3 linked regions of the Neodiprion lecontei genome follow. Each later gene encodes a partner of the first gene's protein in a complex. Links are inferred from orthologs where the notes say so. Each region holds a gene or a part of one and is shown in the gene's direction. Other genes may lie near its edges.

Region 1 (4,922 bases):
TTTTTTTTGTTGGATAATATATATATAGATATACATATATATTTATTTGTAAAACATTATTAAAGAGAAAGAGAGCATATAGTGTGTTGTCACGTAAAATTTAAATTAATTATAAATAGTATCTTTGTATTGCAGAACGGTTGTTTTGTTGTGAATATTTTTTTTCCGCTACATTTTGTTTCTTCAAATGCATTGATCTGAACCCACATCATCGATTCAATTACGCAGCTACACCGAGTTATATCCTGCGACATTGTCATCAGCCGTTGTCGCCGTCTTTGTCATCCTTATTAAAATGCAAGGTTATTACATGTACCAAGGCGAATGGCAAAATATTTACGAAGTGTAAACATTTGAAATATTGAAGTTTGAAGGAAGCGTGAAAAAGTGAGAGAAAGTGAAAGAGAGAATTAGAATAAATAAATGAAAAAATAAACAAATAATTATACAAATTCGATATTCGCTAAAAGACAGAAATAAATATTACTATAAATTCCGTATTTCATGTCTTAAAATTACAATTGCATTTTCGTTTCTTTCCCTTAGCATATTGTATATAATTTATGAATGTCTATAAATTCATCTCAATATATCAACGATTATAATAATTTATCAGTTTGCCAATAATATGTATATTATCTATGCTCAACTCTTAGCTTGAAAATTATGCACCAGGCATAACACGCCAATATAAGTTTTGCTACAAGCCAGGTATTCTCATTGCCGATAACTAGATGGAACGAGTACGAATCATATAATTGTAAGGCAGCCTACTGATCCGCCTCTTCATCAGTTGCATCGTTTTCCTCGACAAATGCATTGTTCTTCCTCACAACGTGCACTAGATCGTGCGTTACCCTCGCTATTCTAGCCGCCGCCTTGAATTTTGTCGCTGCTCGCTGCTTCTCCATCTTCTTTTTCCACTGAAAGTAAAAATTACATAATTAATAATATACAGGTTGGCTGTACACATGATTTGAATTTAATTTCGTTTCGCGGTTTTGAAGACGCGCAACTCGAAATGAGATATATGTATATGTATATATATATATATATATATATACGCATATTATACTCTTTGGCGGAACGAAGTTACCGACCGTACGGTCAGGACCGTATTTGTACGGTAATTTCGCCTCCTATACGGACACGCTAAATGTACAGTCATGGAAAAATTTTAGGAATTTAGGTCATTTTTTGGCTAGCCTCTGATATTGTAAAAGAATCAAGTACAGAAGTATAAACGGTCTCAGTAATTCACATTCCTGGTTATATTAGTTCAATTATTCTCCAAGACTCCAGCAACTGCTTCGTGTAATTGAAAAATTCACAACCTTTAGCGTTAGTGTGAAATATTTTTGAACGTAAAACTAACAATAATGTGGTTGAAACTTATCTGGTCCTTGAGAAAAGAAGCAACATTGTGGCAATTGTACGACCATAAAATATAAAGAACAAAAATGTACTCCGCGAAATCTTTGTACGGTCCTGAAATTTCAAAGTACGATTCATTTTCACATCGAGTACGACTTGTCGCCACCAGAGGGTTGCCAACACTGGGCCGGGAGCATAGACTTATAAAGATAGACTTAGCGCGCTTATGAGCCGCTTGAAGGCGGTAGAGGAGAATGAGGCGAAATTATACCCCTATATCTATAGCTGTTCCACTTCCACTGCTCCGTTGTCTTCCACCACGACGCCGATTGAAAAGCGAGAGCAGTACTCCCGGTATATCTCTGTCCTTTATATGTAATTGTCAGTGCCTCTTATAGGAACGCTCAGTCTATCGTTATAAGTCTATGGCCGGGAGGCGAACGAAGCAGATGGAAGATGCGAGTGCAAGTTATGTCGCACAATTTCGCGGCGTTCGGAGCCTGTACGGTATATTTGCGTTTTTATGTTCAATAAACAAACAAACATAGTGCGGAAAAGTAGACAATTGTGTTGTGCGATGTGAATTCGCTTGTGAAGGTGTGAACGAAATGTTTCGGAAGTACGAGAGACTTTCAACTATGTGAAAGGAGTTACCGAGATCGAGGTTAGGGTCTGCCGTGCGTCATCATACCGAAGAAGGTTAGTAACTATGTTATGTCGCTTCATTTCACCCACGATTCAATCCGAATTTTCACCCCTGCTCAATCTCCGATCTCGCGACGAATATTATAACACCTTTTTGTATATTCTAACTTCATCTCGCAATTTTTTTCTCCGTCGCGTTCATAACCTCTAATAAACATGCGCTTTTCTTTATCATCTCGTTTCACCTGCTCGTCTCGCGACGGTAAGTTCAACAAGTAATCCTTCATTTCTGGTTTCTGCGGGTCTGCGATTGCCAGCACCGATACACATCCATCAACGGTCCCCAGTACTATGCTTTTTCCATCGTACGTGCTGTCGATTGCGCTCAATTCTGCTTGGACTCTGTAGTTGGCTATCATCTCGCAGTCTGAAGATCTGTGGGAATAAAAATGGAATTAAAGCATTATTTATTGTTGAAGTAAATCATCTTGTTATGTATTTGTCAGAACTATTACTTTTGAATGGTTTCTTTACCTGAATACTCTAATTGTTTTGCGACCACTGTGATAGTAGAGTACGTAGTCATCCGTTCTGTTGAACATTGAAATGACGGTGAAAACACCCTCAGCAACTTTTGGTATGTAGGTCTTGACGGTAGTTCCTTTCTTCAGTTCGATGAGATCGAGACCACCCCTGTTTAAAATAAAAATTACATAAACTGCCACGAGATAAGGAATTGGTAATTGAACTACAAATTTTTTACCTGCTGGGAGCATATAAAGTGTGTTTGCCATCCTTGCTGATATTCCCGCTCCACTTGGGCACCGATCTGATGATTTTCTTCTTGTTTATGTCCATGATGCTTCCTTTATCCGAGCCGATTATACCAACCCAATGCGCACGGTGTGGCATTGGTACTATGCTTGTTATGTCTTTGAGTCCCGGTATTTTAACCGGTATTCTATTGACCAGGACCCCTGTTTTTGCGTTGTAAACAATCACACAGTCTCGGTTACCTTTGTCAGCTGCCGGTACGACTAGGTTCGCACCATCCGAGGTCAGAACAGCTTGTCTGAACGGTACTCCTGTTTGACTTTTCACTGGATATTCCAACGAGAACATTGTTCTTCCATCTATTGAGTAGAGTTAAAATTAGTTTCAATTTGGTTCCTTATACACTGGATGTAGTAGACTTTACACGCTGATCTTTGTGAACCTAGCACCCGACTTGAAAAAACCTAACTATTTTTTTGTTGATTCTTGTAGGTTTTTGTAGGTAGTTGTTTGTAGTAAGAATGATTTCGTTTGTAGTAGCGCCAAAAAAAAATATAAGGGGTTGAAAAAATGTCTGCACCCCATTTTGAAAAAAATCGAATTTGTCGGTAGTTTTCCGTACAGAATCGTTTGTAGTTGATTGTAGTGAAGATATTTTACTTTGTAGTAAAAAGGAAAGAAAAATACATTTTTTTTTTTTTTTTTTTATTTATAGCTAGAATTTCTGTGGCCCTGCTGTCAACTAATGTTTCGGAATCTTTTGCAGTTGTTTGTAGTACAATTTTTTTCGTTTAAAATTCCTCCAAAATTTACTACAAACGTCCTACTCGCTTCGGAAACGTTTGTAGTTGTTTGTAGTACTGATTTTTTCGTTTGTAGTTCCTTGGAAATTTACTACAAACATCCTACTCGCTTCAGAATCGTTTGTAGTCGTTTGTAGTACCGATTTTTTCGTTCGTAGTTCCTTGGGAATTTACTACAAACGTCCTACTCGCTTCAATATCGTTTGTAGTTGTTTGTAGTACCATTTTTTTTGAGGAATTTTAAACGAAAAAAATTGTACTACAAACAAATACAAAAGATTCCGAAACATTAGTTGACAGCAGGGCCACAGAAATTCTAGCTAAAAAAAAACAAACTATTTTTCTTTCCTTTTTACTACAAACGAAAATATCTTCACTACAATCAACTACAAACGATTCTGTACGGAAAACTATCGATAAATTCGATTTTTTTCAAAATGGGGTGCTGACATTTTTTCAACCCCTTATATTTTTTTTTTTTTGCGCTACTACAACCGAAATCATTGTTACTACAAACAACTACCTACAAAAACCTACAAGAATCAACAAAAAATAGTTAGGTTTTTTCAAGTCGGGTGCTAGGTTCACATAGGTTACACGCTGTTTTCGATTACCTGGAATATTTCTGACGACAAGAGTAGCCGTTGTTCTAACGCTTTCAACGCCCGGAGGATTGCTCGGTCTTGATACAGCCAGGAATTTGCTGGTCTCAGGAATCAGCGTAAGCTGGCGTACGCCTGGCTGCTCTTCCTTAAATAAGACTTGTTCTGTTATTCTGTTCCATATCAAAACGTTTCCAGACTCGGTGGAGATGATATACCTGAAAATTTTTCCAAGGTATTATCACATCTTTGACAGTGGTATATATAGTCTACCCACTTTCCATTGTGTGTGATGCAGGCATGAGTCACTATCGCTCCCAGTGGGCTGTCAGCCAATTTGGAAATCAGACGTCCTGATTGGAGATTCCAAATCCCAACGCAGCCTCTGGTGACTGTAGCAGCCAAGTTGCAGTGCTCCGCAAGGCTGTTGGTGTATTAAAATGATGTTACATAGGTTTAAGTGAATATTTAGGGTCAGAGGGATGTTGAAGATTATTGTCACCTGATCGAGTCTATCTGTAGCTCGTGTCTGTCGATAACGTGAACCTGTTCGAATATATTGTTGATATTCCAAACCTTCACGCTTCTGTCTATACTCGATGTTATAACGCTGTTCCAATTACCAATTGTCAATGGTTCGAGTTGAATTATCCTAGCGAAATGGGCGTCGAGCACTTTAACGAGAGCCGACGTCTCGAGGCTCCAAACGTATAAATTTTTTCTG
Region 2 (5,842 bases), on another chromosome or scaffold:
AGGCGGATCAGTTTGCAATTCAAAGGCATAAGCAGAGCGGATTCATGCCTCCGGGAAGACCGAAGAATTGGAAAAAGATGGCAATTGAAGTATTGGAGAAATCTGTGGCCAACAGAGTCGAGGGAACTCATGTAGATGAACGAGCAGACAATAAAATGTGGCTGGCAAGGTATCTGGAATTGGCACGTCTCCTCATCCTCGAGGACCTAAGGGTGGTAAAAACACTGTGCGGACCTTGCTTCCCACCCTCTTACAACATAGTCAGGAAGTTTGTAGAGATGTACCATAACAGTCTATCTCAACACTTGAAAGACATAATAGCAAATGGCCTAGAGGGTAACGAATACGTATCTCTGCTTGCCTGGATAATGAACACTTATACAGGTGTAGAACTAATGCAACACCCGGAGCTGAACATCGACACCAGTGATATAGGACCTTTGCTGAGCAACGAGGTCCTGGAGGAACTGCAGGATCAATACTTGAAGAACATGCAACAGAACTATGAAGAATGGATGAAGAAGACATTGGAAACTGAAAAGGTTGACTGGTGGAGCGGAGTACTGCCAGAAGGTAGTACGCAAGAAACCTATTACCACACGGCAGCACCGGTAATCATATTTCAAATGGTGGATCAGAATCTCCAAGTAACGAAAACGATCAGCAATCAACTAACTGCCAGAGCGCTTGTCCTTTGTATAGACCAAGTTGTGAGATACTGTGCGGCGTATCGTCAGGCCATACTTGAGTTCAAAAGCAAACATTTCGAGGATCGGAGCAGAGTTCCTTACTTCACTCACCACATGATCACCATTGTAAACAATTGCCTTCAGTTTATTGAACTCGCTCAGCAAATGAAACAACTTTACTGGGTTTCCAATGCCAGCGGTGATGCTGCTGTCAGGTTTGAGGCTCTCCTGGCCAATTACCAACAGCTGAGAGATGAGGCGGCGACCATTTTATTGGAGGAGTCGTTCCTAGACTTGGAACTCCACTTCCAAGATCTCCTCACCCCAAAATGGCTCTCCTCGCCGATACCCGTAGAAACGATCTGCGTAACCTTGGAGGACTATTTTCAGGACTATAATCACCTTAGAGTAAAGAATTTTGAATATGTCATTACAGAGGCTCAAAATCTGATAGCTAAACGATATATAGCAGCTATGCTGCAGCGAAAGATATCGCTAAAGACGTACGACGAATGTCTCACTTGCACATCAAAAATTATGACAGAGGCTGATAAGATAAAGAATTTTTTCGTCAGAATTGCACCCAAAGTGGGCAACTTTGATTCGCCTTTCGAAGTAATAAAAAGACTGGCCGAAGTACTGCGTTGCGAGGATTCTGAAATTTTATCTTTGGATCTACATTCACTCGTTGAAAAATACCCTGACATGACCGAAGATCATCTCGTACGATTGTTGAGTCTCCGAGGAGACATACCGAGAGCTACAGCTAGGGAAAAAGTAGCGTACATATACGAAGCTCAACGTAATCGAACAGCTCCACAGCCCATGCCTAATAGTATATTTAAGCAAATTGTCATCCAGGATAGTTTCTTAAATTGGAAACCCTGAGTACTGTAAATAAATAATTTTTCGTCTTGTATAGAAATTTGTCTAGTTATTAAAAATGGGAAAGGTTTTTCGGTTCACTTCTATATCCCACTCCACAGAGCTAGCTGTACGGGCATTTCTGTCAGAAATTGTGCTCTGCATGTTCAGCCAATAAGTATACATTCAGCAATGTCGGCAAAATTTTCTTCAATCAAACGTGTTATCATTTGTAGCTGACGTCACAATTCGAAACGTCTTAATTCTATTCTGAAAAAAAAATTACACTCGAATATAGAAGGTTCGTTGTTTTTCAGTTTGAAAAAAAAACAGTCGTCTGACAGTTGCGCACAGCCACGCGTTTGGCGAGAACACGAAAGTGTGATCTAACCTCAAAAACCCACGTCAATAGTGGCTTGAGCCTCACAGGCATCACTGAATCAAAGATCTTCTCCTCGAATGAACAATAATTAATAAGAAAGTGAACTATTGAATCAATCGTGCTGTCAAAAAACATTTCTCTACGATGGCATCGACGAGAGAGAGACGTTCCAATGCTGGGAATAAAATGGCAAGATTACTCAACGAAGAAGAAGAGGATGATTTCTATAAAACTACATACGGAGGGTTCGAAGAAGTCGAGCAGGATAACGATTACATGTTAGTTAGATGAGAATTTCAATTGACAAACATTCTGTTTAATATTTCCATAAAATTAGTATTTCACTCACAGAATAATACTTCATTGTAATGTTGTTGAATACTCAGGGAAGAGGACGAAGGCGAGGATGAAGTGGACTCAGATTTTAGTATAGACGAAAATGACGAGCCTGTTTCCGATCCCGAACAAGAAGGACCCAAAAAAAAACGACGCCTTGTTACAAAGGCATACAAAGAGCCTAAACCTACCTCAGCACACTCACATTCTACTCCTAAAGAGAAAAAGACTAAGACACCCAGGCAACGTCGAACTTCTATTGACAATTCAGGTATATCAGGAAATATCAATGGCGATAAACGTGATCATAGCCATTCGATCAGCAGTATTTATAGCCTCATGCCAAACTACTATCCCCGTTTCGTTTTAAAGAGAGAAAATCCATTCGTCGTTCTACTGCTGCAAAGTCGGCAGCGACCCAAAGACGACTCAAAGAGAGAAATGAGGATCTGAAGAGAAAAGTTAAGACTGTAAAGTACGACGTTTGGAAGCCAACGCAGGAAGAACTGTTGGAGGAAGCCCTCATCACGGAGGAAGTAAATTTAAAATCATTAGGTAATGAATAATACTGCTGGCAAGTAAAAAGACATGATTGTCTGTGCCGATGGATGGTTATTCAACTCATACTTTTAACATGTTTTGACAGAAAAATACCAAAAGTTAGAGAACGAGAAGAAAAACACGAGGACAGTGCGAAAGACAAATGTTGGCCCCATTATACGTTACCAATCTTTGTCTATGCCTGTTTTGATGCTGTCTGAAACACAAGCTGACAAAGATGAGGAAAAAATTAACGTCGAAGCTGACGATGAAAAAAATACCACTAATACAACCAGTGATATTCTAGAACCTGGATTATCACCTCCCTTGTCTGAAAAACAGTGAGACTTAAATTGGTCGTTATTTGTGTAAAGCCTTTTGCAATATGCAGACCGCAATAAAAAACAAAAACGTCCATAACTGCCGTAGTTCTAACTACTTTCAAAATTATTTTTCAGAGAAATAATGGATCAACAAAAAACTATTGACGGCGGTAACAAAGATACACCTATTAAACAGAAGGGAGAATCGAGCTCAGCTCCTAATGAAGCTGAAAGTCAAATCATTCATGAAGATACAGGTTCTAAATACGAAAGAACTTTCATCACATTTGAAAACGAACGACTTTTTACGGAAGCTTTCAAACGTACACCTGCTCCTCGCCCCTCACTAAAATCTCTTTGTGCAATTACAAGGTAAGTTACGGCCTTTCGACATTGATGTATTACTCCTGAAGGTGATTACTTTGAAATAATCAGGTACTAATACACTATATTTTCTGAATGATTTTAGACTTCCTGCACGGTATATGGATCCAGTGACACAGCTACCGTACAGAAATATACAAATGTTTAGAATATTAAGAGAGGCGTATTATCAACAGCTGGAATCTCGTGCAGAGACAAACGATGCTACTCAAAACCTTGAATTGGTACGGTGGCTTGAATGGCGTCAGAAAAATCGTCGCAATAATAACAGAAATACGATTCGTCTGGAACCCGCTTCAGTGTCGCAGGCATCTTAGCTGATCCTTCTGGTCAATCGCTATTCCTTGTAGCATTGAACAGTCTTTTGTCACATCATTTGACATGACACTGGATAATTATTTTATCAAATGCCTGCTTCAGTATTTTCATACGAAAATGAGAATGAAAATCGAAAAAATCGAAGCAATTTACACCACTTTCCCTTTCGAAAATATGGAAATTGCTTCTACTCTGTTGGGTAGATGACTTCCTTCGAGGGATTTTAAGAATTGGGATTGGATTAAAAAATATCTATTTTTTAAACGAACGGAACGAGTTTCAATGGTTTTTATTGTTTTTTTTTTTTTTCTTTTTTTTTAATAAAGCTTTGCCACTTCACATTAACTAGTAGAATAAGTTAAAGTTTTTTTGTTTTCATATTCTTTATTGCTAAAATGCAAATTTATCATTTACCTACATGGATTTAATCAGGAAACCACAATCAGCACTAAGACGTTTTCTATTTGATACAACGAAAGAGACGTCTTTATTTCAATATGAATAAAATTAAATGTGTAGAAAAAAAAAATTAGGTATGTAATTGTAATTAATAATAAGGTTAGTAAATTACGCATATCATAAGGTTTTCATAACAGTGTGTTTAATTTTTTAATTTTTTCTTTCTCAAGATTTTTTTCCTTCATTTCTTCTAAAGCATGTTTTGTATAGTAATTAGGAGTTGTTAATCTCTCGTGTAGTGCGCGAAGCCTAGACATTTCAAGTTCCACAACGTGTTGTTCGCTGTTGCCTTTGCTTCGATTTATTTCATTCAGTTCCAAGTCATTCTATTTTACGACAAAGATGGTTCTCGCAATCTGCAACGCGTCTACACGCGTATCAAACCAATCAATCATTTATCTGTACATGCTCAAAATGTCTTCCTGGTCGCAATCTTAAATTAAATTTAAATGTCTACGTGAAATTGTTTATTATTTTTTTACCTTTGTTTTTTCATTTTTTAAATTAATATTTCACACGTTTTTCTGGACACGAAGCTGTTTGTAAAAAATAAAGTCGAAAAGCATACAGTTTAGTGCTTGCGCGTATCATTTTATTTTAATTCTACTACGTGCGCGCGAGAGCAAGTAGTGATCAACATGGAGTCATTCCCATCTTCGTCGTTTCGTCTTTATTGATATTTAGTATTTTCATTACGACGTCTGCTCTGCACAATTATCATTGTAATTGTGTTATTATTTATAAATTGTTTATAGTATATGTACTCGTGATCATCACACTATGCGTAGAGAAGAATAATTATATATGTATTACAAAGAAGCGGTAATACAACATTTAATTATCATAACGTAATATATATATATATATACATACATATATGTATAATAGTGTAGATATATATGTGTATATATATGTATATGTATAGTAGTAAATAAGACAAATTTGAATAGAGGGCAGAATGGTGTGCCGGCCACGGTGAATTCTTTATCTTGTACGTCGCTTTTTCGGGAGAATTGAATCTTTTTCTGCCATTTAAACCAACAGACCAAAAAAAGATCTTCTACACCTATACAAGATCGAAAATATAGTCTTAGTCCGCGTCCTACCACGCATCCGCTGTACCTACCACCAGTCACCACTCTCTCCCTCCAGCCCACCATGTAACCGCTTCTGAAAAATTGGAATGATATCAGAACGCTCCAGAAAGTAAGAGGAAACAGGAGAAAAACGTCCTTAAATTAGTAAAATGTAAGCTTTTGAATAGTTTGTGTCAGGTAATGGTTGGAAATTAATCAGATAAAGAATAATTAAATAACGAATGACCATAATAGAATCAATTTCACAGCGCCACTCACATAGAAAGCAGTAAGGCGAGTCACTGGCAACACTGCTTGCGCATTCCGTCAGCATTCATCGTCGGTTTAACGTCGATTGGCTCTACGTTTTGCGGCCGGATAGTGTCACCTTCGGGAGGATCTCTAATTTGTTTCTGAGAAACGATTCTGTAGATTTCTGAAGAGTTGAAAGAATGTATAAGGAAACGTAAG
Region 3 (7,897 bases), on another chromosome or scaffold:
TCTTTGTTATTGAATGGCAATAATACAATGTACTGTTTTCCAAGCCTCTGAAAATCAATGATAAAAATAAAGCATAAGGTACCTGATGATAGACTTGACACACTCATAAGGCATATCCGGTGGCATGACAAGTACACCATCAAAGTTATCATCTTTTTCTTTGAGCTGGCATTCGAGTTGCGTAAAGTAATCTGTGCATGTTGTGATTACTAGACGATGAGCCTGTTAGGATTAATAATAAAAATACTATTGACAGTTGTCAAATCATGTTTTAGAAAGTACCACAAGAAGTAAATGATCCAGCTGCGTCATGAAGTTTGCTAAACTGTTCAATAAGAGTAAATACAAGTAAAATATGTACCTGTACGGTGATGTCACTAGTTGGAAATTTGATTGTAAGGTCTAGTAACTCTTCTTCAAAATAGAGCTGTTGCAATCGCTGGAGAAAAAATGTCCCCCAATTGTCTACTTTCACCTGCTTCAGCCCCCGCGAGGGAAGCTGTTTAACTTGATTCGTGACAGTCTGCATTGTCCAGCGTCTATATTAGATATGTAAAAGGAAAAACAATATCATTGACTTTGATTCTATAAAGATACATATTTATACTTTCAATGGATTTCAAGCTATTTCTTTTCTCTGTGACCATGCATTTATTCACAGTGCTTAAATCGAAAGTATGCCAACTTTGTCTAAAGAAAGTTTAGATTGCACACAAAATTTACACAGTTCTGATCCGACAGTTTAACGAAAATGAAAATTGTCAACAAATACAAAATCAAATTGTATCAAGTTAATCCAGTCGCTGCAAAGGACAAGTGATAAAAAATCATTGTGAAGAGATTTTGTGGACTTTAGTATGAGATTTGAATTTGCAAGTCTACGCGTTACTGTTCTGATATATTGCAAGTTATTGAACATTGAACTATAGTTTAGCTGACTGACAGTGAGAAATAAACCGAAAAACTGATTGTAATTGCAAGATCCTTATCAGTGACATGTATACCTATGTAGGTATTTGCGGATAGAGGAATACAGAACAATCTGAGATTGTTAAACAGAATAAGTTGGTAGAATTGCTGGAATATTGGGCGGTTAGAAATGGAAAAACTCGATTTATCCGGCTGATGGATCTCGCCTAAAGTGAATGTTGGCGAGGTGATACATGTAAATAGGCTCGACCAATTAACCTAATCTACGGAAGGCTAAGTTCCAGGAGAGAATAGCGTATGATGTACAGAACGTATACGTCGCAGGTTTCGAGCGACCAGGGGACGCGTCTGGTCATCCCATTGTGGCCTTTGCTTACGGGGCTTCGGGTTAGTCCCGAATATCTGAGCGGAGTATCTGATTATTCCAGTTGAGGAACGATACCGGAACATTCTTTAGCGTTCAAACGCACGTACCTTTTCAACAGGATTGTAGCAATTCTCCGGTCAGCTCCATCTCTTACAAATTTGCTCAGTAGGCGACTGATATCGAGCTTTTCACTATCGTTCGTGACCCACAGATGGCGCTGTTGTTGGGCTGTCGCGTGCGGCCGGAAATTAAAAATTCACTATCTCTAGCTTCCTTTCTACCCTCACAGGAATATCAAGTAGACTCATAACTAGTAAAAATTATATTTGAAAAATAAGCTTGTTCACCTAAAGTTTTACACTGACTTGTTCGTTTAACCTAATTCACTATTATTCAGATATTTTCATTTGATATTTTCATTTATCTACCAATTTTTATTCACGGTTGTGCGCATCGGAGAAGTGCGCATGAGGTCTGATGCATTGCCACACAATGCGCATGCGTCGATTGCCAATCTTGTATAATGTTGGTATAATATTAATTACCATAGATTAGACGATATTCTGGGCAGTCTGAGCACTCCGACTTACGCTCCGGCTGAAGAATAGTATGCCGGAAGCCAGCGGCAAAACTCACAACCCATGCGATGCTATAAGGCCGAAACAGCGAGTTCCGTTTGCTAAATCACCAACAATTTTAACGTTTACTCACACCCTGATTCTATCGGAGGGGCTTATATTCACTCAGACTTTTAGTGTACAAGTGATTTCGTATGACTTCAAGTGATTCCGGATAATTTCAAGTGATTTCAGATCTTTGCAATACACTACGTCTAATTTTTCCCACTTCGTATGATTTCATGCGATTATATGTGATTTCACGGAATTTCTAATTGTTTTTACATAATTTCATATCGATTTCACACGAATTGGGGTTTAACATTGATTGTAGAATGACTTCGTGACGAGTATGGTAGATTTCCATGCAATTTCGGCTTGTAGGCAAGAGATTTCACGTGGATTTACATATCATAACTGTAATTCTTCTTTTACGTTGTGATGTTTTAAAACTATTTCTGCTCGTTCCATAATATATTACATATTTCGAATTAATTTTATATCCATTATGGCGGATAGGGTGAAAAATCTAGAAAGATCAGAAAACAGAAGTTACAAACTAAAATTTTCGAAGTCGTGAATATCTATGTGACAGAATTTAAAAAAGCAGAAATTAGAAATATGGAAGAGTTAATTAATGTAAAAAGGTCAGAATTCTGACGATTCTATGTTTCGGTTTTGTGTATGGGACATTCTACATCAAATTAACACCGCATGTACCTCACCCCCTTCGATTTGGATCATTTTTTAGTATAATGTTCTTGCCGACCCAAAAGTGTCTCAGATTTTTTTTCAGATTTCTTGAGCCACCCGTGAAATTTAAAGAAAATCTGAGGACCTATTCTGAAACCGCCATTTTAAAAATCTGAAAGTAATCAAACAACACTATTCTTTTTCTATTTTCTAGTTTTTCCATGTCAGAATTGGAATTTTTATTTTTTTGGTCGGGCACAACTTTTTCAAATATGAATGGATTTCAATTTTTCTGGCATTTAGAGAAATGTCAGAAGTCCTGAATACAGTTGATGCCACTGTAATTTTTTATTCGCACTGTCTATAATATGTATATTACACAATCAATACAAAATGCGCTTAATTCTGAACTGCTCTTTCTTTAGACTGTTTTCTTTTTGTTTCCGATCGGAATCCATTACGGAATCATAAAGTTAATGTAATTTTAGTTACAATCTTTCATTTTGAATTTCTCTTCATTGCTTTCAGTTTTTTTCGGTTCACAATTTTGCAAGGCATTGTTTCAATAACTTGCAAAAACAATTAGAATGGCATTAACTGTATTCAGGCCTTTGAGCATTTCTCTAAATTCCAGAAAACTTGAAATTCATTAACATTTGACAAAGTTGTGACCGATAAAAAAAAAAATTTCAATCCCGACATCGAAAAACTAAGTATAGTAAATATTGAGATTCCATTATCGTGTGGTGCTTAAAAAACATATTTTAAATCATAGAATCAGTTTGAATTTTATTCAAACGCGTGGATTATGCGTGGAGTTTTCGTTATTGCGATGCTTGTTCGCTTTTTTTTATTTTATTGTCAGTCCTCCGTAGGGTGGTTTCCTTACTAACAATTAGTAGTTTTTATTTCAGTTTTTTGTTCCATTAGTTGCTTATAATTACCTTCTGGTAGTTTCTGCCTCTTTTCATTACACAATTCTTAATCTCTCTTTTAAAGGGTTCCACAGATTTTTGTCGTACTTCATCTGATGAATCATTACATATTTTATTTTTGATTCAAACAAAATGTACACTTTTTTAACCTGAAAAGCGGGACGACTGTAGCGTATGATTCTCTTTTATACTTTTTTCCGCAAATTACTTATCCCGTTTTTCGGAGTTTCTCTCTTCTTTCTCAATTTTGAACTAATTCTTACTGCATTATTATAAATTTTAAATAATATTATAGTTTTTGGAAGAATAAAATTATGACACATCCGCATAATAGAAAAAATGATGATTTTTTATACAAAAAATGCTTTTATCCGTTTACAGAGTGTTCAGCGACCAGGAATTCCTGGAAAACCGAGAATTATACGGGAATTTGAAATTGCCCTTAAAAATGCCAGAAATATACGGCAATTTCATATAGCAGCCGGGAAGTTTTTCATTAAATTGAATTTGCATAAAATTTCGTCCTAGGTCTAGTAATGAGATCCCTGACTCAACTTATTTCACATTAAGGGAATGTCCTGGTCCATTGCGACGCTGAATTATATATATACATATATTGCAGTCGACGTACCTCAACCGCGAAAAAGGACTCAACACTCCCTTCTTATAGACAATTCTGAACAAAACTACTTCAATACATTTTCATTTGACGCAGAAATAAAGAAATGGCATGTACTCCACAAATTTACTGTAGCGATTTTACAGAAAGCATCCCATCCCTTTATTTGTGCGTCAAATGAAAATGTATTGAAGTATTTTTGTTCAAAATTGCATATAGAGTAGGGCAGTTTAACCCTTTTCCCTGGACCTCGTTATTTGGCGATATCGGCCAGAGCACCCCCTTAAAGACGGTTACCCTAATGGAGTACTTTGTGTTTGTCAATGAAGAAGCTGACGGAACTTATCCGACGAGTACCGGTCGCAGTCATAAAAATTTGCCCAGGGGTCACCGTACTTAAATTCTTCAGTCAACGTTCTGTATGACTCATCGTCCTGTTTACCTGTGAAAGACTACCATCTCCGTCGGACCTCGAGCGTGTCGTATATTGTGAGACTCCACAGAAGCAAACAAAGTGTAGCATTCTTGTATAATACTGTTGCGATTGATTTACTCTCTTCACGAATCCAGATTCAGCCTTGCCATCACGCTGGAGACACGGATTGTATAGTTGTGTGAGGTTGATATCAGTTACGCAGAGTACGACCGAGAGAGCGTCAGGCGTCTGTCATAAGCGTCTTGTGCCCTAACCTATAAATTTGATCGTCGGCTATCAAAAACGATTTGTTTATTTATTTTATCAAACAAAAATAAACTGGGGGGAATCAAGTAGAGTGTAAAAAGATCAAAAACAAAATGCCACCGAAGTGTAAATTTCAAGAAGGTGTGGTAATTGTAATTATTTGTACTCAAATTGGCGATAGTTGAATCCATAATTATTATACCATTGGATTTCAGGAGAAAAAGTACTCTGTTTTCACGGACCATTAATATACGAAGCCAAATGCCTGAAGTCTTCGGTTACCAAGGAGAAACAGATTAAATATCTGATACACTATGCGGGTTGGAACAAAAAGTAAGTAACCGTTTATTCTTATTTTCTGAACTCTACCACGGTTCGCGTGTATTTGCAAGAATACAGGTTATAACAAATGTTAAGCATTGTTTTGTAGAATCATTTAAACACAATCTTCAATCTCTTTCCTAATATTTGTTCATTTGGTTGTTGAATTATTGAAACTATCAAAATCCAGTAAATGGGTGGACTTTTCTTAAGTGGTTACATGTTCATATGCCCATTTTCCTCATTTAATAAACCTGGATAGTTCATACGCTCCAAAATTTGGAAGTTAATTACATTACAATTTCTAAAAACCAGCAAAAATTTACCAGCACTTATTGAATTATAGGACAGTATTTACTTTTTTGTGCAAAGTATTCTCTACCACTATCTGAATGTGATATCACTGTGCTTATGTAATGGGTAATTAAATAATAAATCATAATCATTAATAAACAAGCATTTTTTGAGATGAGGATACTTGAATTTGATGTATTTTGTGTTTTTGCATTTGATATATCGCGTTTTGCGCAGATGTATACTGCAACTGGTTTTCTTATTACCATATTGTTAAAACATTCTTATTTACCTTAAATGTCGGAAACATTCTTACCTAACTTTTAATGCGAGATTGCCATTCCAGGTAAATATAAAAAAATAATTTCACAAATGCAGTTTTATACCTTACATTCAGGGTTGATTTATATTGAGAACAATACAGTATTACTTTTAGTATGAAACCTGATACATTAGTCTTTTATCATATCCTAGATACTACTGTAATGGAGTAAAGTCACAAATTACATAAGGGGACGGATGACTGTTTACTTTTAGTTGGGATGAATGGGTGCCAGAGAGTCGAGTGCTGAAGTACAACGAGTCGAATGTACAAAAACAAAGAGAAGTGCAACGTGCCCATTCAACTCAGCAGCCTTCGCACAAAGGTAAAAAGACTGGGACCACTACTAAAGCCCAAGGGCGTAGAAGTGAGAGTGGCAGAGACAAAGATAGTGAAAGTCGGGCAAGTACTCCTGTTGGAATAGCTGAGAAGACGGGGGGCCGGTCTATCAAAGGGCTTGGCGGGGGTGCTACACCGTCATCGTCCCATGATTCGTCGTCTGATGCACCGCGCAAAAAAAGAAGGTTCTTACTTCTCTTCACTCTCTATAACAACAAGTGACTAGATTGGTAAAAGTTTTGTAGTATTGTTAATAGAATCAAACTGATTCATTTATATTCAGCCGCGTTGATCCTTCTGTGGAAACGGAGGAGCAGTTCTTAACAAAAGTTGAGGTGAAGGTTAAAATGCCTGATGAGCTGAAGCCGTGGCTTGTCGATGATTGGGATGCTATTAGCAGGCAACGCAAACTGGCAATACTACCTGCAAGGAATACAGTCGATCGTATTTTGGACGATTACGTCAAATTTAAGACATCTAGTAAAACCAACAACCCCAATAAGTATGTAAATGTTCAGTTTTAATTGAAAAATTTATGACCAACTAGAGTTTGCTCAGACCTCACTCTACTCAGTTTAAAAGTCCATTACTCCGCTCCAGGAAGTCATAGCCGCATAAACCATGGACCTGAGTGGAATGGCACCAAATTGAGTTTTGGGACCATTGCATAACACACAGACATACGAACTGACAACGCAAATACGTTTTAACTTCTTTTCTACTAATAGTTTAAATAATAGCTCGGACAGAAACATTATTTTTCATACTAATTTTTCTGCAGAGAAAGCGCTGTTCTAGAAGTGACAAAAGGCGTGCGGGAGTATTTCAATGTGATGTTAGGTACGCAATTACTTTATCGATGGGAACGTCAACAATACAGTGAAGTAATGACTGAAAATCCAGACTCAACTCCCAGTCAAATATACGGAGCTTTCCACCTACTCAGGCTATTTGGTAAGCGACAAATTTATTCTCAAGTCTTGTATTGGATTCAAAGTAGCACATATCGTTTCAGAAAATGATTTGGTTAAAAATATTAATCATAACAAACCTAGTGAATTTCATAATTAATGAAAGTGCAATTTTTTCAATGAGAAAAATTAACGGACGACCAGGAGAATCTACCCTGGGACCAGTGGAGGCCTATACCTGGACTTATACCCACTGGACCACCAGGTTTCCTCGCTACTGTCACGTTAATCCTTCTCATCTACTGTCTTGAATTAATTGCATATATATTCTTGACTAGTCAAAATAGAAAAAAAAAATCTAAAAGCAGCATACGCTAGTAGTTGTAAATAAAACTCGTGTAATAGGCCGCAGTATGCAATACAAACCATGCTTTGTGTTAGCCACCGATACCTTGCAAGCAAGATACGTGCATACGACTTCGCCTAACGAGTATGAGTGCGATGTAGTCAATAATATCATATATATAATGTGAATTTAATTTGAGTAAATTTCAAAGTACTCTAATAATTTCATCCTACAGTGAAACTTGGCAGTATGTTATCTTACACACCTCTCGACGAGAGAAGTATTCAGTTACTTTTGGCGCACATACACGACTTTTTGAGATACTTGCATAAGAATAGCAGCGACTTATTCAGTCTTCAAGATTACGGAGCAGCACCACCGGAATATCACCGTAAATGCAATTAAGTTGAATTATGCAACATTTATATTAAAATGTCAGCAAAATGAGCCAATGCATCCATTTTACCGCTTATTATAATCACTGTCAAACTGCATTGTCCCTCTTGTATTTACTATGCAAT

Evidence for each region.
Region 2: transformation/transcription domain-associated protein (region 1) and vacuolar protein sorting-associated protein 72 homolog share a complex: the UniProt entries of both Drosophila melanogaster proteins name them as parts of the tip60 chromatin-remodeling complex. The link is inferred for Neodiprion lecontei from reciprocal best matches to the Drosophila melanogaster genes Nipped-A and YL-1.
Region 3: transformation/transcription domain-associated protein (region 1) and mortality factor 4-like protein 1 share a complex: the UniProt entries of both Drosophila melanogaster proteins name them as parts of the tip60 chromatin-remodeling complex. The link is inferred for Neodiprion lecontei from reciprocal best matches to the Drosophila melanogaster genes Nipped-A and MRG15.

The regions. Positions count from the first base shown.
Region 1 is NC_060263.1:16,848,994-16,853,915, forward strand, and holds the start of transformation/transcription domain-associated protein, read left to right. Parts: upstream 1-1,810; 5' UTR 1,811-2,073; intron 2,074-2,264; coding exon of another isoform or gene 2,265-2,454; intron 2,455-2,553; coding exon of another isoform or gene 2,554-2,712; intron 2,713-2,782; coding exon of another isoform or gene 2,783-3,152; intron 3,153-4,210; coding exon of another isoform or gene 4,211-4,416; intron 4,417-4,475; coding exon of another isoform or gene 4,476-4,622; intron 4,623-4,700; coding exon of another isoform or gene 4,701-4,919; intron 4,920-4,922. Other genes in the region: NACHT and WD repeat domain-containing protein 2, read right to left, coding at 771-923, 2,265-2,454, 2,554-2,712, 2,783-3,152, 4,211-4,416, 4,476-4,622, 4,701-4,919. UniProt on the Drosophila melanogaster protein: Part of the Tip60 chromatin-remodeling complex which is involved in DNA repair. Upon induction of DNA double-strand breaks, this complex acetylates phosphorylated H2AV in nucleosomes and exchanges it with unmodified H2AV.
Region 2 is NC_060260.1:918,591-924,432, forward strand, and holds vacuolar protein sorting-associated protein 72 homolog, read left to right. Parts: upstream 1-1,727; 5' UTR 1,728-2,079; coding exon 2,080-2,213; intron 2,214-2,321; coding exon 2,322-2,542; intron 2,543-2,643; coding exon 2,644-2,826; intron 2,827-2,917; coding exon 2,918-3,152; intron 3,153-3,269; coding exon 3,270-3,506; intron 3,507-3,603; coding exon 3,604-3,835; 3' UTR 3,836-5,333; downstream 5,334-5,842. Other genes in the region: exocyst complex component 3, read left to right, coding at 1-1,577; ras-related protein Rab-11A, read right to left, coding at 5,671-5,807. UniProt on the Drosophila melanogaster protein: Part of the Tip60 chromatin-remodeling complex which is involved in DNA repair. Upon induction of DNA double-strand breaks, this complex acetylates phosphorylated H2AV in nucleosomes and exchanges it with unmodified H2AV.
Region 3 is NC_060265.1:18,757,854-18,765,750, forward strand, and holds the start of mortality factor 4-like protein 1, read left to right. Parts: upstream 1-1,873; 5' UTR 1,874-2,099; intron 2,100-2,132; exon of another isoform or gene 2,133-2,279; coding exon of another isoform or gene 2,280-2,298; intron 2,299-3,926; exon of another isoform or gene 3,927-4,490; 5' UTR 4,491-4,956; coding exon 4,957-4,984; intron 4,985-5,058; coding exon 5,059-5,176; intron 5,177-5,995; coding exon 5,996-6,304; intron 6,305-6,402; coding exon 6,403-6,621; intron 6,622-6,900; coding exon 6,901-7,073; intron 7,074-7,611; coding exon 7,612-7,781; 3' UTR 7,782-7,897. Other genes in the region: centrosome-associated zinc finger protein CP190, read right to left, coding at 83-222, 362-529. UniProt on the Drosophila melanogaster protein: Part of the Tip60 chromatin-remodeling complex which is involved in DNA repair. Upon induction of DNA double-strand breaks, this complex acetylates phosphorylated H2AV in nucleosomes and exchanges it with unmodified H2AV.